Canis lupus familiaris: one gene and its partners. The protein of the gene in region 1 interacts with the protein of each later gene in a biochemical or structural test. Links are inferred from orthologs where the notes say so. Each region holds a gene or a part of one and is shown on either strand. Other genes may lie near its edges. The genes, in order: BTK, IBTK, GTF2I and SH3BP5.

Region 1 (5,652 bases):
TTTGAAAGATTTTATTAAATAAATAAATCTTTACAAAATTTATACTGAGAAGAAAAGCAAGTTGCTGAAGAATATGTACCCTGTAAAACATGCAAACCAATACTAAATACCTTTCATGGATACTTACATATGCAGTAACAATATAAAAACATGCCTAGGAATGATTAACACGAAATTCAAGATATAGTTAACTTCTGAGGAAGGAGGGGATTGATTGCAGAGGAGTATACAAGGAAGTTTTGACTCTATGGTTAGTATTTTATTTCTGAAAAATGCCGGAAGCAATTATGGCACTATGTTAGAATTTTATAGAGCTAAGTGGTGAGTACCTGAGTGTAGTGTTAGTCTCTGTACTATTTGCCACACTTCATAATATAAAACAAAGTACATTTGATCAAAAATTTACATTCACACTATGCAATAACAACCCTAGGGACAGAGTTGGCAGGTGTTCCACATAAATCTCATATTTTTATCGAATCAACAATGAAAAAAAGTCCTGAAAAGAAAACAGCAAGTAACACCAGTTAGGATCTCTTTCCGAAAGACTGAAAGGAAAATGTAAGAAAATCTGGTAGGGATAAGAAGAGTCCACATATGGGAAAAAGTACAGTTGACAGTTAACAGGGATAAATCACCCTTTTTCGCTTGGAGGATTATTGCAGAGGAAAATGCTCCAGGATCCTGTACTCTCTCTTATCCCCTGAATTTACCATCATTTCCTCTTTTGTCAAATGTTCCTAGAAGATGCAGAGGATTCTGTCTCTACTGCTCTTTGATGGTAGCCATGGGGGATGACAGGTGGTGAGATGGATAGCATCAAAACTTATTGAAAGCAAAAAAAAAAAAAAATCTCTCTAGGAGGCAATGAGGTAGGTATCACAGAAACAGCAAGGGCTGTGGAGTTATGGATGAGGTTGGGCAGATCACACAACTTCCATGAATCTCACTTTCCTCACCTCTTTGTTGTAAGAAATAAATGAAATACTGAGTATAAAATGCTTGATGGGTAGACTGCACTGAGAAAAACAAGAATTTCCTTCCATTCCCCTCAGAAGAAAAGGGAATAGACAGACTTTTTTGGTACTTAAGTAATGCTTTAAATGAGAAATAGAGAATGATGTTTCTTGGATATTCTGGCTAAGTAGCTATTTGAACTATGACTGACTGGTTATTTCTAAATAGCATTTCCTGGACTCTTCCCAATCATAGGCAGGCTGTGTAGTCTTCTGAATTTTGCTCTGGTGTTTATCTTACCTTGAGCAGTGATAGGACCAAAGGTGATTTAGTTTACCAATCCTACAGGTGTTTTTCGTATCAATTCCTTGGCATAGCGCAGTTTTTAAGATGGCTGAACTCTTATTAACAAGCATCCTCTTTATGAATTCTGCTGCTCCATAGGAAGCTGGGAGGCTGCAAAAGGTGGCCACATGAAAATTCTTGCATTTGTAGTTTAAAAAGAGAACATTATAATGCTGGAATTCTGTATCTTTAAAAAGATTTTATTCATTTATTCATGAGAGACACACAGAGAGGCAGAGACATAGGCAGAAGGAGAAGCAGGCTCCCTATGGGGACCCTGATGTGGGACTTGATCCCAGGACCCTGGGATCACGACCTGAGCCAAAGGCAGATGCTCAACCACTGAGCCACCCACGTGCCCCTGGAATTCTGTATTTTAAATGAAGAACCTGTGTCTTTCTATTATTTTTCCTCCTCTTTCTTTATGTGAACATCAGTGTGTGAATGTGTGTGTGTGTTAACATTCATGTCACTTCCGGTTTCCACCCCCACCCCCACCCTCTGAGTGAAGTGGGGGGTCAGCCACATGGTGCATCTTTTGTGGTCAAATTAACTGTCAGCTGCTGAAATAGTTAGAAGAAAATTTAGAAGCTACCATAAAGAAGTTGCAACTGCCCTCTAATGCAGTGTCCATCACACACCAACCTTCAGGAAAAATGCACCTCCTTTCACATTATTGGTGGATGAATCAGTGATGACTAAGGAAGAACGACCACATTTTCAGGCTGTGTGTGTCTGGACTGGTTCACAAGGAATAAGGGGAAAGCAGTCAAAGAAGGGGCAACCAGACCTTGGAAATCCTGGGAATTCTTCAACTCCATGATCTAGTGGTAGAGGCCATTTCACCCTTTTGCTGAGAGGGGTGATGGCTAGTGAGAGGCTTACTTACTTCCTCATACTTAGACCAGCACTAAACCATAACCCAACAGACACTTGAAAGAGAGGAAGGCTTCCTCTTGTACAAACTGGATTTGTTCTAAAAGAGAAAAAGAAAGAAAAAAAAAAGAAAAAAGAAAATAAAAATAAAAGAGAAAAAGAGCAGAGGCAGTTTCCAGAAGGACCTATCTTATAGGAAGTAAGAGCAGAGGCCAAGACTGAAGCGGATGCTGGGTCAGAGCAGGGAATGCATCCATCAAGAGCTTGCAACAAAACTAAAGGTAAAATCATGGGTATGCTTTACTCAGCTAAAAGAAGCAAAACTGGATGTAGTTTGTTAGGATGCTTCTGATCCAATTTACTGGACATGCTACTTATTTTCATTAAGGCTTTATTTTATCTTGTGCAAGTTGAGTCTTTCTGATTGTGAAGAGCTATTTAATTGGAATTCACAGTGAAAAAAATGTGATCTCATTACAAGTATCTTGATGAGTTGACTGTTCTTGAGAATATAATATTACTTGGTTACCACTATTTCTGAATAAATGAATAATTTTAATGTTGACAGAAATCTCTGTGGGGTTTGAGCATTAGAAAGTACTCTGGTTGTAAAGTCTTATCAGTTTGTCACTCCTGTAGAGACCATTTAAACCAGGTAGTCAGGGAACCTGTGTGACCAGGTGTGGGGAAAAAGTTTGCTCCTTGTCTAATTTTTCTCAAAAGATCATTTATAAACCATTGAATTAATCCACCACCAGAAGACAGTAGCATCGACATGGTGAATAAGTGGCAAAGTGATTATTTTGAACATCCCTGGTGTTCCTTTAACCTATTTTTAATGTCTCCCCAGTATGATAATAGAACCTTCTACACCACAGGAAAGAGCAAAATAACGGTGCGGATAGCCTCAGACTTTGATAAAAACTGCTCCCTTGTTTCCTTGGTGTGAGCAATAATCTGTGTTTGGCAGGTAGAAAAAAAATGCTGACATTATTTATTCTGCATAGACAGATAAAGGATAAGGAGTTTAGTTATAAAAAATGTCATCCCTCCTTAAGAAAAAAACCCCACGCAGCCGGGGTGGCTCAGCTGTTTAGCGCCGCCTTCAGCCCAGGGCGCGATCCTGGAGACGGGATCAGGATCGAATCCCACATCCGGCTCCCTGCATGGAGCCTGCTTCTCCCCCTGCCTGTGTCTCTGCCTCTCTCTCTCTCTCTCTCTCTTTCTCTCTGTCTTTCATGAATAAATGAGTAAAATCTTTAAAAAAGAAAAGAACCCCACTTATAACAAAATTTGAGGGAAGCTGGTGATCTGTTTCAGTACTTATTTTGTACTGATTAAGTGCCCCATTTTGTGATAGTATTTATATTTTCACTTAATCTTTCTAAGGAAGGTTTGGAATTATGCATAGACTTTAAATGAATATGCAATTGTGTGTAAACAGTAAGTGAATAACTAATATGAAGCATGTTTTGTATGAATGAAAAAAACCAATGGTGATTTCTTTTGTAACTTTCTTTGCATTTTTGCACTTCAGCTACCTAAACTGAATCTTTCCTAGAGTATTCTAAGTTTGGAGAGAGTAAACAAATTACTTTTCGTAAATAACCAGAGATGGCACCCATAAGAGTAGACAGTTGCATCACTTTGGTAAGACAGTGTCTAAAAGAACCAATCTAAGAAAAGGAGGGGGAGGGCAGCCCGGGTGGCTCAGCGGTTTAGCGCCGCCTTCAGCCCAGGGTGTGATCCTAGAGACCGGGGATCGAGTCCCAGGTCGGGCTCCCTGCATGGAGCCTGCTTCTCTCTCTCCCTCTGCCTGTGTCTCTTGTTCTCTCTGTGTGTCTCTCATGAATAAATAAATAAAGTCTTTAAAAATATAAAAAGGAGGGGGAAACACAAACCAAAACACGCACACACAAAAAAACTAAAACACACACACACACACACAAACCAAAGACAAAACAAAAGGAACTCCCTCCCCCAAAATTATTTTTCAATTTTAGAACAAAGCTTCTACCCTTTGTAGCTGAGCTAGTGGTTGATGGGCAAAATCAGTTGGGCAGCAGTTAGTATATGTCCATACCTGCAGGTGCAGCCTCCATATCCTTATTATATGCCTTGTTTACAGACCCCAGTGGGACAATGTTTGAAAAAATTGCATTCACTGTCTAGGAAACTGGGAACTGAAAGTCCAATATCTGCCTCAGTGAAGTTTTGGCACCTGCATTATCCCTTCTGGGGATATCAGTGTCAACAGCTGCACAGAGACTGTTGCTGTTCACAGATTCTGCACGTATCACAAAAGGGTGGTTAGTATAAAGTGGCCTCTAGACATTACTAAGCACACAGGTACATGTCATTTGACATTCAGAGCATTCCATTGCCTTATACAAAAACCCAGTGTATGTGAGCTCATGCCGAATCTGTCCTTCCAATTCACCATTACACCTGAAAACTGACAGAGACGGAAGCTATGGAAGGAGGATGTCAAGGCAGGAAGAAGGCTCTTTATTAGCTTTGCATGATTCTGTTCCATTTGAAACTAGGTGGTCAGGTTGAGAGGGAACCAGGAGGGATAAGGAATAATGTGCTGGGTCCTCAAGAACTTTCATTATCAACAGCACACAAGTGAGCTCCAGAAAGAAGAAGCTATGGCTGCAGTGATACTGGAGAGCATCTTTCTGAAGCGATCTCAACAGAAAAAGAAAACATCACCTTTAAACTTCAAGAAGCGCCTCTTTCTCTTAACTATGCACAAACTTTCCTACTATGAGTATGACTTTGAACGTGGGGTAAGTTTTTCTGCTGTGAAACCTGAATATCAAGGACTTAGCCTTAGATCTTCCTTGAGGACTAGATATTTTTGGTTGGAGGAGGGAGGTGGTAGGGATCGAGGTATATTTCAAACTCAGAAAAATGTTTCTTAGCCTAGAACTAACTACAGCCATGTTGGCACAAAAAATTCAAAGGTGCTAAGAAGCCATGGGGGCAATCTTACCATGGAATCTTGCAACTGATCATTCATTAAGTGCTGTTGAGAATGAAATCCACGTCTTGAAAATTATTCTTCATTTTTTATGGTAAAGGCACACACAGTCATCCACTCTTCTATAGTATTTGCCCTCTGATAGTCAAAAAAGTTTAGATTAATAGATCTGGAAGTTTTGTTGTATTTTTTTTTTCAAAATGACAGGTTCTGATGAATAGAACGTGGGTGTCACCTCACTATGTTGAATGATTAGATAACAAAATCTAATCATCTGGTTGCTTAATCATTCCTAATCTTTCTCCATTTTGTTCCTCATTCTCTTTCTCAGAGAAGAGGCAGTAAGAAGGGTTCAATAGATGTTGAGAAGATCACCTGCGTTGAAACAGTGGTTCCTGAAAAAAATCCTCCCCCTGAAAGACAGATTCCAGTAAGTAGAGACCATTGTCAGAGCAGGAATGGGGTGGTTAAGAAACTTGGAACACTTC
Region 2 (4,901 bases), on another chromosome or scaffold:
TTGCATTATATATTGTATTCTTACAATAGAGAAAGCTAGAGAAAAGAAATTGTTAAGACAATCCTAAGGAAAATGTCCAATATGGTTTAATGGTACCATACTGAATTTATCATAAAAAATCTGAATACAAGTGGATCTGCACAGTTCAAACCCATGTTTTTCAAGGGTCAAATGCATATTAAATATGGTTACTGACAAAAAACATACCAAAACCATAGCACAAAACCCTTCAGTGTTTTTAAATAGGAAACCTGATAAATGCTCCTTCTCTGCTCCTACCCCACACATAAGATTACACTATCACAAGCAACATACATATCTTAAAAAAAAGAATTCCAAAGAATATGGTTTATATGACAAATCTCTCTTAGGCAGTTTACACATACTGTAGGACAGAACTATACCAACAAATTGAACCACTATTATCCCTCCCTTCTAAATACTGAGAAACTGAAGTTCAAAGAAACTAACAAATCTGCCTCAGCTAGTCACTAGTAGAGCCAAAAGGCAAATAAATACAGGCCTAACTCCAGAGATAGTATTTTTTCCAGCATACCACACCGCCTACCATTCCAGATCCCTGTTACACAAACAACATAGAGTTCACACCCACTAACAGCCTCCAAAGTTTTAATCCAGGGGGTCCTACAGAGATAGCTTTAGCAGAAAATGAAGAAAGAACACATACAAAAAGGCACATGGGGGTAGAACTGAGGGACGGGAAAAGACGAGTAGCAAAGAAAAAGAATTTTTAAAAGGAGCTCATAATAAGGTTCAAGGACAGATATTAAGAAGCCATACCTACTACTCAAATTACTGAAACCAAATTTCTTTGCAACATTTTGCAACATTCTTACAGGATCATCTTCCCCAATACTTTTCCCTTTATTGGAAGCCTTTGATTTGCTTTTTTGCTTTTCATTAACTGTGTGTGCTTGATTACTTCTGTAAACTTCAAATGCTGACTTCTGATTATCTTCATGGCAATGCATTTTATTTGAATGTGAATTCATAGTGCCCTGATATTCTTCTGGCTTTTTGTTTAAGTTTATTCTTGGTGTGAAGCCATGAATTAAAAAGTCACAAGTATCTGTGTATATAAATTGTAAAAGGTACTCAAACAAGTCAGGATGAACCTTCTCTATGACAAAGAGATGGCATCCTGCAGAATCTTCATCTTTCCGGTAAACATCTATAAAATCTAAAGTAGTCCCATCTGAAAGAAACAATTTCTGAAAAAAGTCAGAACGCACTGCCAAAATATATTTATGTGCAGGGAAAATTCTATTGCCAACTTGAAATGTCACATCATGAATACTGTCCGTTTCATCTGTTTCCCTTAAGAGTTTGCCAAACTCTTCAAAAAAGGATGATGAGGATACGGCTGGAATTTCATAAAGGCTAGAAATGAAACAAAAATAATTTTTACTTTCAAGAAAATGAAAAAAAAAGCATCCCATCCCTAGCCAATTCTCCTTTTAAAGTACAATTTATTTTTTAGCTATTAAACTTCTAAAATTTTAAATCTGGCATTTCTGAAAATATAAGAATACTGCAAAGTCTTAGATACTGTATCACATTTTAAAATGTGACTCCTTTTTATATTTTTTTACTAAACTGACAAGATTCAAGTTTTCCTTCAAAAGCAGAGTTTTCTATTTCTACTAGGAAATGCTAGAATGTAAATGAGTATTTCCATAGAAATTTTTTAAATGACTATAACTAAACACAAATGACTATAAAACTAAAAATATCCAGAAAAGAGTACAGTTCTCAACCTTTTCTTTGATATCCTTTTCTTTTATCCTTTATCCTTTTAAGTGAAGAAAACCAAATATACAAAGAACTGAGCAAATACTTCAGGTCAAATCCCAGAATAGGCCAGAAATTCAGGGAGGAAAAATAAATATACACACAGATATACAATCAGTCCATAACTCTGGTTCTTTAGCGCTGTAAAAATGTTATCACACCTTCCCTATCCACATTTCACCCTTTCAGGTAGGGGAAACAATCCTCCTGGTTTGCCCTGGATTGAGTGCTTTCCCAGGAGATGAGAGTTTTGGTGCTAAATATGGGACAGGCAGGCCTAGGCAAACCAGAATGGAAGTTCACCCTACTTCCAGGACTTCTTTCCAACAGTACCCTGGACATTTATCTTAACCTGTCATCTCTCTACTAATGTAACTTAGAGAATATTTGCACTGAGATTCACACTACCCTACAGATGACTATACCACCTCTTCTTTTGTTAATTATCATATTCAAGTATTAGAGATTTTTGCAAACTGTGTAATATTTATATTTCTCAGAATTTGAGAACCCAGAGTACATCAAAAAGTAGTTATAAATTTTGTGCATGCACATATGTATTTTCAAGATTTTCAATAAATACCAGTTTACAAACTAAAAGAAATACTTATCATTCCCACTATAACAAATTCCACCTCTGAGTTTTCCAGATAACATGATTTTATGTCTAAAGCTTCTACAAGTCTTGGCAAAAGCATTTCAATTAAATTTCCTCCAGGAGCTACTGAAAAAAAAAAAAAAAAAAAAAAAAAGGAAAACTCAGTGATTATTCCTTCTAAAAATGAAATTTAATATATACAAGTGTACCTTGTTTTAGGATCTGACTGCAGGATTGCAAAGTTGCATCCACTTGGATCTGTGCTGACACTAACAGCTCTATGGGCAAAAGTAAGTTTCTCAAGTCGAATTCTTTCGTATACACTATTTATATCAGAGACACAAGACACATCTGATGAGGAATTATGAAGATTTGATAAAATCTCTGCTAAAAAGAAAAATAAACAAACTTCTATTAATGGAGGCTTTATTGAAACTATTAAAATGCTTTAGGAGAAAAGAAAATAGAAAAATAAAATATGAAAGTATCTTTCATATATAAGTCCTTTTGAAGAATTATATTCCCCCGCCCCCCAACACAATTTGCACCCTATGTATAGTATAGGTACTATAAAGGAAATTTTGTTTGGTCAATTCTCAATTACCCATGATTTTGTCCCTTTCAACAAAAACATCCTCCACATTGCACCAAAGTTAACTTTCTAAGAAGCAAATCTAGTGTTACACCACCTTCTAAAACTCCTCAGCTTGCATTAAAAATATATAAACTTAGGATCCCTATAGTTTGTTATTTGGTCCCAAATATCTGAGTGACCATACTGTGCTACTGTGATGCAGTGATCATCAATCTGTCCCTAATGATACAGTAGTGAACAAGATAGGCATGTCCCTGCCATTCTGGAGTGCACAATCTAGCAGAGAAGACAGACATTAAAACAAATGATTATATCCATTACGAGTCAAATTAAGGCTATGAAAGAAAAGTATGAAATGTGCATGCAAAGAAATTATTCTTCAGTAGGAAGAATACTGAAAGTAATTAAAAATAAAGACAGAGATCATTTAGGAAACTAATAAGAAAGAATCCAAAGAATAAATAATATACATTGAAGTTGTAGCAATAAAAGTGGAGAAAAGTGGAAAGATTTCAGAAATATTTGAGACAAAAGTGACAAAATTTAGTGACTGATCGGATATAGGGGTGGCGGGATGTGAGGTGTCAAAGACAACCATTTACTTAGATATAAAACATTAAAAAGCAAATGTGGAAGCATGAGATCATGAATTCAGATTACTAAATGTGACTAAGATACAATTCTAAGACTTCCAACATTTATATGCAGTCAAACCTGCATTTTGGTTACTCTCTCAAATTCACTCTATTTCAGTCTTACAGGCCTTTGCTAATTTTTCCCACACACTCAGTTATTGCAATTTCTACTCTCAAAAAACCTAACATATGCATATTAGCATTTGTAAACTGTAAATATTAACATGTATCTATTGTCCCTACAAACTTATGAGTGTCTGAGAACAGGGGCCCTGTTATCAACATATATGTTATCAATAAAGCATAGCTCTATATGTGACACACAGTAAATCTAATTTAAATGTTTACAGACTTACATAATCTATAAAGAAATAAAAGAAATACAACAAACCTCTAATCACTCCACTGTGTCTTTGATTTTGAAAACTATGTTTATAATTTTCTGAATTAATTATAAACATTCCTTATATGTGTCTTAGCATATTCATTCAACAGATCTTAATGAGGGACTACTATGTATCAGGAAATATGCTGAATGCCAAGGACCCAGTGCAATAGTCAAGGTCCTTGCCATCTTATAGCCTGATAGGAGACAAGCATTAAAAAAACTAATCACAAAGATAAATACAGGGATGCCTGGGTGGCTCAGTGGTTGAGCATCTGCTTTTGGCTCAGGGCGTGATTCCAGACATCAGGCTTCCTGCATGGGGCCTGCTTTTCCCTCTGCCTGCATCTCTGTCTCTGTCTCTCTCATAAATAGATAAAAACTTAAAAAAAAAAAAAAAGATAAATACATAAAAACAAGTAGAGACAAGTTGCATCATGAAAATCCAAAGGGAATATGAAAAGTGAAACAGGGTACTTCAATTTAGATTGAGGGATCTGTGAAAACATTTCTGATGAAGCATAAATGAATCTGAGATGTGAAAAATTAGAGAAAGTCCTGGGACTACTGAACAAAATTGAAAACCTGAAGATGGATGTGACTGAAGAATGATAAATGAAAGCAGTTCAGGTACACAGACAAAGGTCAGAGAAGGAGCTTTTGGGACGATGTTTAGGAAGTGAGGAAACATTAAAGAGTTTTTAAATACAGGAATATTAAAATCAGATCAAATATTAAAATAAGATCACTCTAATAGTTAAGAACAGATAAAAAGAAATAAGAGTACGAATAAGGAAAACTTTTTTTTTTTTTTTTTAGGAAAATATATTTTTTGCAGTAGTCCATATGATTTGGGATACAGTGGGACCCATTAAC
Region 3 (4,901 bases), on another chromosome or scaffold:
GAGTTCCGGCCCCACAATTATGTGTAGAGATTAGAAAAAATAAATGAAGAAAGGGAAAATATTCTGTAAGCTGGAGAAATCACAGGACTTTATTAAAACTGCACGCCTTAGACCCCAGCAGCATCAACCATTAAAAATAAGACAATGGTAGACCTAACACTATCAAGTTGTTATCCCTCTGACAAGCTACAGTCCTCCTTTCCTTTCTTACCAATTATGAAAAACTTGTAAGATCTACGAAAGTACAGCTTAAAGAACTTTTTTGGGGGATTCCTAGAGCTCATTTTGTCTTGACAGAGGTGAACCCATGTACCAATCTGTCTGTATCACAAGTACAGGCTTCAAGGCCAGTCTTGTTTCTGCTAACTGCCCTTACTTTTTAATGATGAACTTAATCTTGGCCTTGTTTCTGAGTATCTTTTCCAGCCTTGGAATGCCAAAAGTGGACGGCCGCCGGAATGGCACACCCTCAGGCAGGCCCTCCACATAGAAGTCTTCTGGGAAAGATTCAAATAATGCAAACGGCACTTTTACAGCTTGCTTAAGGCCAAGAGCTTCGCCTGTAAAACACAGAGTTTCTTTTATTTCTCACATTCATCACTTTTCAAAACTCAAACTTTTTTTAAAAATGCATTTTAAATTACATTTTGTAGCTACTAAAATTATATATATATATATATATATATTTAAAGATCATACTACTTTCAATCTTAGAAAAATTTGTTCATTTTGCAGGCTCAGAAAAGTGGGAGAAATGATGGCATTCACGCTTGCAAAATGCATGCACTTCCAATGACCGTAAAATTTAAATGCTAAACATTTTATTCTGTGCACATTCTTCTACTGAAAAAAGGCCACCATATATTTTAGCACTAACATTTCAAAATAAGCTTACCGCATTTTTCATTGAAAAGATTTTCAACTTTCTGTTTTAGGTCTGTGATTTTGGCATTCCAGGCTTCTGCAAGTGAAAAATGAGACCATTACTAGCAATACTTAGCAAAATACATCTATGCTCAGCATTCTTATTTTATTGTACATTTTTAACAAGCACAAAAAAAAAAATACACAGGTTTTTAGCATAGTCATATCTTGGCAACTACTCTAATCCGACATTATTAAACTGTTTTATCATATTACTAATACATTGGCCACAAATAAATGACATAGGCTAAAATTAAAAATAAATGAAAACCAAGAAACCTCCCACCAAAACAATGATAGCATCTACTATGCGCCAGGTATGGTTCTACCCTTTAAATAACTTAGTACTTAGAATTCTCATTAATAACCCCATGAGGCAGAAGTAATATCCCCATTTTACACATCCAGAGACTGAGGCACAGAGGGGTTAAGTAGCTATTATAGTGCCTTTAATAGCTCATATATACTGACTTACCAGATAAAAAAAAAATTCACCTAGAAAAATAACATGTTTGTATTGGTTCCTTTTATTTCAAATGGATGAAATTAAGAAAAATAAAATTTATATGTACCAAAGGAAAATTCTCTCCCTCGAGGCTTGAAGGGAACATTAGAACCATTAGTCTGGGTAGGGGTTCGAACCGCGGAGGTTTGAGGGTTGTTGTTATTAGGGCCTAAAGAAAAATTAAAAGAAAAAAAATCAATCAATACACATATTTCATCATGTTTAAGTACTGCTTGTGATTCCCCTTAAAAACCAAATCAAGTTCAAACAGGACACAGGCACTGAGCAATGCAAATGGACACGCAGGCCCCAGGCCACATCCACCCATTCTTCTACTTTCATCCTTATATTCAGCCATTTTTATCCAGACAGAATTAGCTTTCCAGAAGATCTGAGGTATTTTCGACTCACTGAATGCTTCGTTCGAGCCCTTTTGGAGCCATCTAATTTTGGGGTAGCTATGTCTGCTTATGTGTTTTCCTTTCAACCCTTGATCATAATCACAATGTCAGGTACGGTTATCCTATCTCTACTAAGAAATCTTCCTTTAGATTCTCTAGCTGACTCTGGACACATCCTTCCTTTGAGGGGAAAAAAAAAAAAGATGCTTAGATGCTTATTTATTTAACAGATGGGGAGGGGCAGAGAGAGAGGGAGAAGCAGATTTCTCACTGAGCAGGAAGCCTGAAAGGGGGGCTTGATCCCAGGACCCTGAGATCATGACCTGAGCCAAACTCAGAAGCTTAACCCACTGACCTACCCAGGTGCCTCTTTCCTTTGAATTCTTAGTATAATTTAGAAACAGTGTTCTAGGAAACCAGTTGTTTTTCCATTGAATGAAGAGGACTGTTTAGGTGATTCTGATAAATCCCTGACCCTGATTCTTCTTTATGTAGGGTCACCTAATTATTAAATAGTTTATTTTAATCTGTAGCCAACCAGCAATATTTAAAAACAAAATAGTCAAAATAATGGGAAAATTTTTTAAAAATTAAGTTTCCTCAGATTTTCTTTAGAAAATAACCAACATTCTAAAGATACATCTTCAAACTCCGATTTCCTAGTTTGTAGAATATACGTATGGACTCTGGGCTTTCTGGGCTTTTCTGGGCTCAGCAGGTTAAGCGTCTGACTCTTGATTTCGGCTCAGGTCATGATCTCAGAGTCCTGGGATGGAGACCTGCACTCAGCAGGGAGTCTGCTGGAGATTCTCTCTCCTTCTGTCCCTCTTCCACCAAGTACACCCGTACTTTCTCTCAAATAAATACAATTAAAAAAAAAAAAAAACACTGAGCTTTCACCTAAACTATTTTCCTACTGAGTTACCTACTTCCTATTCTTATCTCCAATGTTTGCAACAACACTACCAACAGTGAAAGGTGCATATGGTCACTGCCCCAAGCATGTTGTGTGTTCACTAATTTAGTTTTCACAGGTAACATTACCACATCCAATGTACCCATGGAGACACTGAGTCCTGGGGACTACGTAACTTGCTGGTGACCACACAGTAGGTGCTGGGGCTGAGATACCAGCCATCGGAGTCTGGTTCCTTGGTCTTCACCACTATACACTACACACTACACACTATAGTCTCTGATGTACTTGTGGACAAGACCTTGAATGTCAGCAAGGGAAAACCTCAGTATGTGTGTGGCCATCCCCATCTTCTGAACTTAGCCTGGATATGGCCTTAGGATCCTCACCAGTATTAGAGGTGTTGGTGGGAATGGAGGATTCAATATGAAATGTATCTGTCATCCTCCATTAAATGTCAAGGGATGTCTGCGTGGCTCAGTTGGTTAAGTGTCCAACTCCTGATTTTCAGCTCAGGTCATGATCTCAGGAATGTGAGACTGAGCCCCGTTTCTGGCTCCCATTCAGCACAGGGTCTGCTTGTCTTCCTCTCTCTGCACCTGCCCCCATTCGCATATATGCTCTCTTTCTCTCTCTAAAACAAATACATAAGGTCTTTTTAAAAAAATTTTATTTATTTATTATAGTCACAGAGAGAGAGAGAGAGAGAGAGAGAGAGAGGCAGAGACATAGGCAGAGGGAGAAGCAGGCTCCATGCACCGGCAGCCCGACGTGGGATTCGATCCCGGGTCTCCAGGATCATGCCTTGGGCCAAAGGCAGGCGCCAAACTGCTGCGCCACCCAGGGATCCCCATAAGGTCTTTAAAAAATAAAATAAATACAATAAAATGTCCAGACCCAACATTCTACTCTTTAATTATTTAAAAACTCCTGAATAAAAATGCTAGCTTCCTTAAGATGGTATAGCAATGAAAGCAAAGTGTATGTGGGCTAGCTGGTTCTAGCAGCCTGTGCCAGCTGGCAGGTACAACCATGGAGAGGCCATCAGTCCCTCCCATCACCACAGCCCTGCAAGAGGCCACTAAGGCACCCAGCTCACAACTCTGCTTGTGTCAATGCTCGTAAACCAAGCCTTTGACAGTAACAGAGCAAGAGAGAAAGGAGTCTGGGAGCAACAGACCAAATGGAGTTGATTGAACTATCTAGTTCTTATCATTCTTCATTAATGAAGCAACATTCAGGTTGATAGTTAAATGAAATACCACCACACACCCTCTGGAAAAGCTTAATTTAAAACAATGACAATGCCGAATCCCGAGAGGACGAGTGGAAGCTGGAACACATACATGCCTGGCAGGAGTGTAAAATGGCAAAACCACCTCGGAAAACTGTTCAGTACTTTTGCAGAACATTAACAGCTCCATGATTCTGCTCCTAAATATCTCAAGAGGAGGAGAACATATGCCGCACTTTGTACACACATGTTCACAGTGTCGTTTTTAGACAAGGCTGGAAACAAAACCAAATGTCCGCTGACAAATGTATAAACAAAATGTGGTGAATCCACATCATGGTGGAATACTCAGCAATAAAAAGGGGATAGTGAAATATGCCCCAAGTGTAAATCAAAAAGCATTGAGAAAAAGAAGCCAGCCGTAAAAAGAATAGATACAGTAGGACTCCATTTATATGAAGTTTCAGAAGAAGCAGAAGCATTCCATAGTGACAAAAAGCAGACCAGTGGTTGCCTGTGGGCCCGACTGGGAGGGACTGGCTACTGAGGGCACCAGGGAGCAAGTCAGAGTGATGGAAATGTTCAAAAAATTGAGTGAAGTGGTGGCACAAACATTTCTCAAAACCTAAACCATACAATCACAATGAGTACATTCTACCATGTATAAATCATATGTAAAAAATTTACTTTTTAAAAGTAAAACAATTCCATACAAGCATGACATATAATTTAAAAACAGTATTAGTATAGTGCAAACAAAATACCTCCCCTCTTCATTAAATGGTCAAAAAGTTCCTGGATATGGACACAGCTTTTACTCCATACATCACCTTAAAATACTAACAACTGTTTAGTGGTATTTCAATGACTATTACTTACGTTTAGAGTCCATTTATAGCCTTGTTAAGCAACAAAAAGCTA
Region 4 (5,410 bases), on another chromosome or scaffold:
AATTGCCCAAAGAGACTTGATTCATCAGAAGTCAAAAAAAAAAATTAAATAAACATGCAGATTTGGGGCACCTGGGTGGCTCAGTCAGTTACCCATCTGCCTTTGGCTCAAGTCACGGATCCCAGGGGCCTGGGATTGAACCCTGAGTCGGGGTCTCTGCTCAGGCGGGAACCTGCTTCTCCCTCTCCTCCCTTGCTTATGCTAATAAATAAAATCTAAAACAAACATGTATATTTTACTTTACCAGGGGGAGAAGGGCAGCCTCAGTGTTCATGGATACATACAATCAGAACAGAGGCGTCAGTGATCATCCTTCACACACAACTCAGAAAACAGACTTTTAATCCCCTTTTTTGCAATGCCCAGATCTGGTGCCTCCAGGGCCTAGCCATGTAGTCAGAAATCAAGGCTGCCAGTGTATTCCCGGTAGATTATTCCTATCTCCCACACCCTCATTCTTAGGGACCAGATGTTTCCTGCCCTTTTCAGTGACCTTCCCTACTATTTCTCCTGCAACAGAAACAGGCCCTCCAACAGCTCCCTGCATCCCTTCAATTCTCTGATAGATTCATTCACAGGCTCTCAGATCCATGCGGGGTTTGTTCAAATTTGCTGATGGATGGTAAAACCAACCACTACTACAGCAGAGTGGGGGCTGACGGGTAGCTGTGAAGACTGCTCATCTGTTTACACTCACGTTGGAAGATGCTCATGAAATTCAAATCAAGTTCTAGTATCCCCCAAGATTCTTCCCAGCAGGAAAGCCCTTGCAGTCCAGACAGCTTTTTGCTACCATGAAGATCATTATATTCTACACGCAAACAGACAACAAGGAAATGAGCAGGGAAGTGGAAGAGGGGTGAGATTTTTAGGACAAAAAGTCAAAAAAAAAAAAAAAAGTAGAAGTCTAAGGAAATACATAATGTTTCCAGGTACAAATGTAAGGAATCACCCTGAAATATCAGAAAGACTTTGTCAACTCATTCTTTCTTATCCATTGTAGAGTGCAGGTAATTCTCCCCTCAATCCTTTCATGCTTTTCCACAGACACATGAACTTCAGTGCCCCACACAGCCCTTGGGTTTGGCCCCACGGAGCTCCCATGATGAAAACCATGTGAAATAGGATCCACATGTGTTCCACCCACACGCTGGGCTCAGCAGTGCATTTTATTCTGTCGGGCGGGCGGTTGCTCAACTCTGCGGAGGGGACGCCAGCAATCATCCTCCAGCTATTAAAACAAGATCAAGCAGGCTGGTGTCAGCAGGACTGACACCACCTCACCAGAAACAAGGACCCAGCCTTCTGTACCTCGAGTTCCGTCTCCCGTCTGTTGATGTCATCCGTGGATTGGTTTAACTTCTCCAGTTCTCCCTAGTGAAGAGAGAGAGGGAAGAAAGATGTAAAGGAATTGTCTTTTGTTTCCAGTGTGACTGAGCTCATTCTCCGCAAAAGTACTCTAGCACAATTTGGAGGAAGGGGGATGAGTCAGTATTAATTCTCAAGGAAAACAGTGGAGCCCTGGCTTGAAGAACAAATGAATGTCAGTTATTTCTGAGGCCTTTTTCTTTCAAAAATGTCTGAAGGTCCTAGGGATTTTTTTCTTAGAAGGTCAACTGTTTTCCAGGTATGTGCCTTCAGGTAAACCCACCTGTTACAAATGGTTTAGGAATCCAAACAGTACCTCCTGCCTCACAGAAAGAACTTTGCAGAAAAGACGATGAAATAAACAAAAGGCAAGCCGAAACTATAAACTCAGGGAAATGATTTAAATCAAGGGCAGAATTCTGGCATTAACTCATTAGTGGTTGAGTATTTTTCTAGAACTGAAAATCTTTTCCTTGCAAACCGGCAATCTTTAAACCTGCCTCGCTGTTTTTAACGAAACAAAAACTAGCTTTCATCCCGATCCTTCAGATAAACATTTATAAACTGACATTTTTGTAAAAAAAAAAAAAAAAAAAAAAAAAAAAAAAAAGTACCCAGCGAAGAAGTTAACTCCTTTTACTCTGCAAACAAAGGATCTCCCAAACAGAATTCCCCTACCGGGAAAACAAGATTCAGTAGCCTAAACTAGTGATTTTAATTAGTAGAATTCCTCATGCAAAGATTTTTTTTTTCCCCACCTGATCTTTATCTTGCTAATCTGCCAAAACAATTCATTTAAATGGCAACAGCTGAGTTAAATGGGCTTTTAATTGATCCGCGCGCTGAAAAACCCATTAGGGCTCCAGAAATCGCAGAGCACGATTAAAAGCAATATATATATTGCTATATATATATATATTGCAATATATACATATTGATATATATTGACTATACATACATATTGCTATATATGTTGCAATATATCGATATATGTGCAATATATATATTGCATATAGTATATACGTATATACTAGCAATATATATATATTGCATTTAGTGTATATATAGGTTTATACTAAATGATTTATGGAAAGGGTAGAAAAACGGGTCTTGGAAAGGGATGTGCTGTGCTCTTCGCCTGGAGGGTGAGGAGGTGAAGCTGTCACTCTTACATCTTGGCTCAGAAATTGTTTTTTAATCCTCTCCCTCAGAAATGGAGGCACAGAAAGCCAGGCCCCCCCCCCCCCGCCTCCTCCCCGCGGGAGCCCTGCGCATCCCCCGTCCCCGGCTTCTGCTCACACCCCGACCTCCTAACGACCACGAGCGGGGCTCTCAGCCCTGGAGGCCAAGCGGAGGTCCGAGCCCGCGGCGACAATGAGCCGGCGGAGGGGGCGGCTCGGGCGCCGCCAGGTGAGGGCTCGCGGCCGGGGCTCGGGGCGGCCCGCGGCGGGGGGACGACGCCCGCCCCCGCCCCCGCCCCCTCCGCGCCGCCTGCCCGGCGGGGGACCCCGACCCCCGCACGGCGCCCCGCCCCGCCCCCGCCCCCCTTTTCCCTTTGTTGCACATCGGCCCGAGCCGCCGGGCCGGCCGCGGCGACCCCCACCCTGCGGGGTCTGCGGGGTCTGCGGGAGCCCCCGCGGCACAGTCCGGCCGCATCCACGCGGGCGCCGCAGCCTCCCACAAGCCCCGCAAAACCGGGTCCTCGGGCCCGGAGCGCAGGCGGGGTCTGAGGTGCGCGGCGCCCCCCGCGCGCCCCACCTGGATGCGGGGGTCCACCTCTTCCTCCTCCTCCAGCGCCGGCTCCATCCCCTCCTCCTCCTCCTCCTCCTCCAAGTCCCGGGCCGACGGCGGCGGGAGGTCCGCCGGCTCCTCGGAGCGGCTCCGCTTCAGCGCCGCGTCCATGCGGGCAGCGGGGAGGCGAACCGCGCGGAGGACCCCGGAGCGCCGGGGGGGGGGGGGGGGGCGGGCAGCCGCAGGCTCGGCCGGAGCCGCCTCGCCCCAGCCCCGCGCGGTCCGGAGCGCCGCTGCCGACGCGGAGCCCGCGGGCCCAGGCGGAGCCGAGCGAGAGCGCGCGGCCGCCCCCTTCCTGCCGCGGCCCGCAGCGCAGCGCCGCCCCCGCCCCCGCCCCGCCCGCCCCGCCCCGCCGCGGCCGCCCCCGCCCCCGGCTCCCACCCGGGCCGCCCCGGCGCCGTCACAAATCCCGCGGCCCCCGCACCCCTCGGCGCGCTGGGCGCTGTGGCCGGGGCTGCCCGCACTGGCCGCCTGCTTTGGGGGCACCTCTCTCCCTCCCTGCTCGGCCGGAGCAAATCGACTGCTCGGAGCAAAGTTTGGGGTATCTTCCACGGTCTGAAGTCCCCTTGGGAAGCCTGTATTCGGTGACCCTGCACCAGCTTCAAGGCTCCCTCAAATCCCTGTGTGCCTCCACAGCACGGTCACCCCCTTGGCTGAACCTCGGGAATTGGAGCCTACTTGGAAGAGTTTCCCCCAGAACGGGAACTGAAACATGTGCTCACACGCCACAGAAGCACGAGGAGGGGAGCTGGGCGCAGCTTCGTGCCTGGATTCCTCAGTCAAGCCATGCCCAAAGCCTGTGCCCTCCTGGTCGTGGGGTGGTCCTACCTGAATAGCCAAGAAGCGTGGAAAATGCATCGGTCGTCAGGGATGTCGGGCTGGGTAGGTCCAGCCTTCTCCAGGCGGCAGCAGGTGTAACCCCTGTGTCATGGGCAGGCTCTGTCCAAACATTTATGAACGGCGAGATTTTCCTGCCTTCCTGAAAGAATAGGGAGCCAGCGCTTGCCTGGCACGCTCAACAGCATGGGCCCAAAGAAGGAATGGCAGGTGTGTGCTTTTATGAACTGTCAGGGCCACTGTGATGTCAAGGGAGCACAAATTCAGTTGACCTTAGCAAAGCAGGCAAGGACGTTGCCCCTGGCCACTGCTAATATCTCCACTACAAAAATGCAGAATGTGTGCACCCTTTACATAGAGGCTTGTGGCCCATTAGCTCTGGGAGTTTGAAGAGCAAACTTGCTTGAGACAGAGGCTGAGAGCCTATCTTTAAAGCCACCTGGGGAACACCGGTGGCTCAGTGGTTGAGCCTCTGCCCCTCTGCTCAGGGCACGATCCTGGGATCCTGAGATCAAGTCCCACATTGGGCTCCCCAGCGGGAGCCTGCTTCTCCTTCTGCCTATGTCTCTGCCCCTCTCTCTCTGTTTCATGAATAAATAAAATCTTTATAAGTTAAAAAAAAAATAAAGCCACCTTTGGGAAACCTTCTAATGGCTTCATCAGAAGCTACATTGCAGAGCAGAGAAGGGGAGGGGGGTGGTATTATTCCTTGGGCAAGGTACCATCCTGCACATGCTGGCACCGAGGTCCACTGTGAAAAGAGATTTGTTCTGTCTCCTGGAGGTAATACAGGCGTACACATTCGGTTTGGTTCTGAAACAGTCACACCTGGTCGTTGTTCTAAAATCAAGGGAGAGCCAACAGTTCTCAGAGATGTCCTGAAAGGTTTTGCAAAACACCGAGTTGCTTTTGCTTTTCCACCAGTTTCCCCAGTGGCGCAGAACGGAGCCGGTACCGGGGCAGGTTTTATCCTAGCTGTGAATAAACTGAGAGACAGAGGTTGTAAACAAGAAAAGTGAGGTCAGTCCGGACTCTCCTATGCTTCTCGGTTGCTGGAACCCCGCCCTCACCGTGCTAAACAACAACTTCCCAGATACACTTCCATTTCAGCTTAGATCAAAGAGCAAGAGAATGGTTCCAAAGGCCACCATGGACATAGGGAAACTGCCCTAGAACAGTGGTTCAGGCTTTTTTTGTTGTTGTATTTTTAGGAGACCTGGGCCAGTTACAGCGTCAATCCCAATAGTGTTCTGAAGTTAAAATAAGGAAAATAAATCACAGTACTACTCTCTGTATTCTTCACTGGGACACAAATGCATAGGAAACGAAGCAAGGAATGAACTGAGGGTGACAAGGCGGAGGTGCCTGTGTGGTTACAGGGAAGGCCTCTCTGAGAAGGGCACTTTGAGCCAAG

Evidence for each region.
Region 2: the proteins of BTK (region 1) and IBTK form a complex in vitro, tested with the Homo sapiens proteins (2 studies listed by BioGRID). The link is inferred for Canis lupus familiaris from reciprocal best matches to the Homo sapiens genes BTK and IBTK.
Region 3: the proteins of BTK (region 1) and GTF2I form a complex in vitro, tested with the Homo sapiens proteins (4 studies listed by BioGRID and IntAct, with this or other methods). The link is inferred for Canis lupus familiaris from reciprocal best matches to the Homo sapiens genes BTK and GTF2I.
Region 4: the proteins of BTK (region 1) and SH3BP5 form a complex in vitro, tested with the Homo sapiens proteins (2 studies listed by BioGRID, with this or other methods). The link is inferred for Canis lupus familiaris from reciprocal best matches to the Homo sapiens genes BTK and SH3BP5.

Annotation. Positions count from the first base shown.
Region 1 is NC_049260.1:75,699,971-75,705,622, reverse strand, and holds the start of BTK (tyrosine-protein kinase BTK), read left to right. Parts: upstream 1-1,941; 5' UTR 1,942-2,405; coding exon 2,406-2,459; intron 2,460-4,799; coding exon 4,800-4,970; intron 4,971-5,495; coding exon 5,496-5,594; intron 5,595-5,652. UniProt on the Homo sapiens protein: Non-receptor tyrosine kinase indispensable for B lymphocyte development, differentiation and signaling. Binding of antigen to the B-cell antigen receptor (BCR) triggers signaling that ultimately leads to B-cell activation.
Region 2 is NC_049233.1:42,944,025-42,948,925, forward strand, and holds part of IBTK (inhibitor of Bruton tyrosine kinase), read right to left. Parts: intron 2,798-4,901; coding exon 2,620-2,797; intron 1,402-2,619; coding exon 802-1,401; intron 1-801. UniProt on the Homo sapiens protein: Acts as an inhibitor of BTK tyrosine kinase activity, thereby playing a role in B-cell development. Down-regulates BTK kinase activity, leading to interference with BTK-mediated calcium mobilization and NF-kappa-B-driven transcription.
Region 3 is NC_049227.1:5,653,487-5,658,387, forward strand, and holds part of GTF2I (general transcription factor II-I), read right to left. Parts: intron 1,599-4,901; coding exon 1,497-1,598; intron 962-1,496; coding exon 896-961; intron 561-895; coding exon 377-560; intron 1-376. UniProt on the Homo sapiens protein: Interacts with the basal transcription machinery by coordinating the formation of a multiprotein complex at the C-FOS promoter, and linking specific signal responsive activator complexes.
Region 4 is NC_049244.1:27,769,731-27,775,140, reverse strand, and holds the start of SH3BP5 (SH3 domain-binding protein 5), read right to left. Parts: upstream 3,286-5,410; 5' UTR 3,271-3,285; coding exon 3,127-3,270; intron 1,375-3,126; coding exon 1,312-1,374; intron 1-1,311. UniProt on the Homo sapiens protein: Functions as a guanine nucleotide exchange factor (GEF) with specificity for RAB11A and RAB25. Inhibits the auto- and transphosphorylation activity of BTK. Plays a negative regulatory role in BTK-related cytoplasmic signaling in B-cells.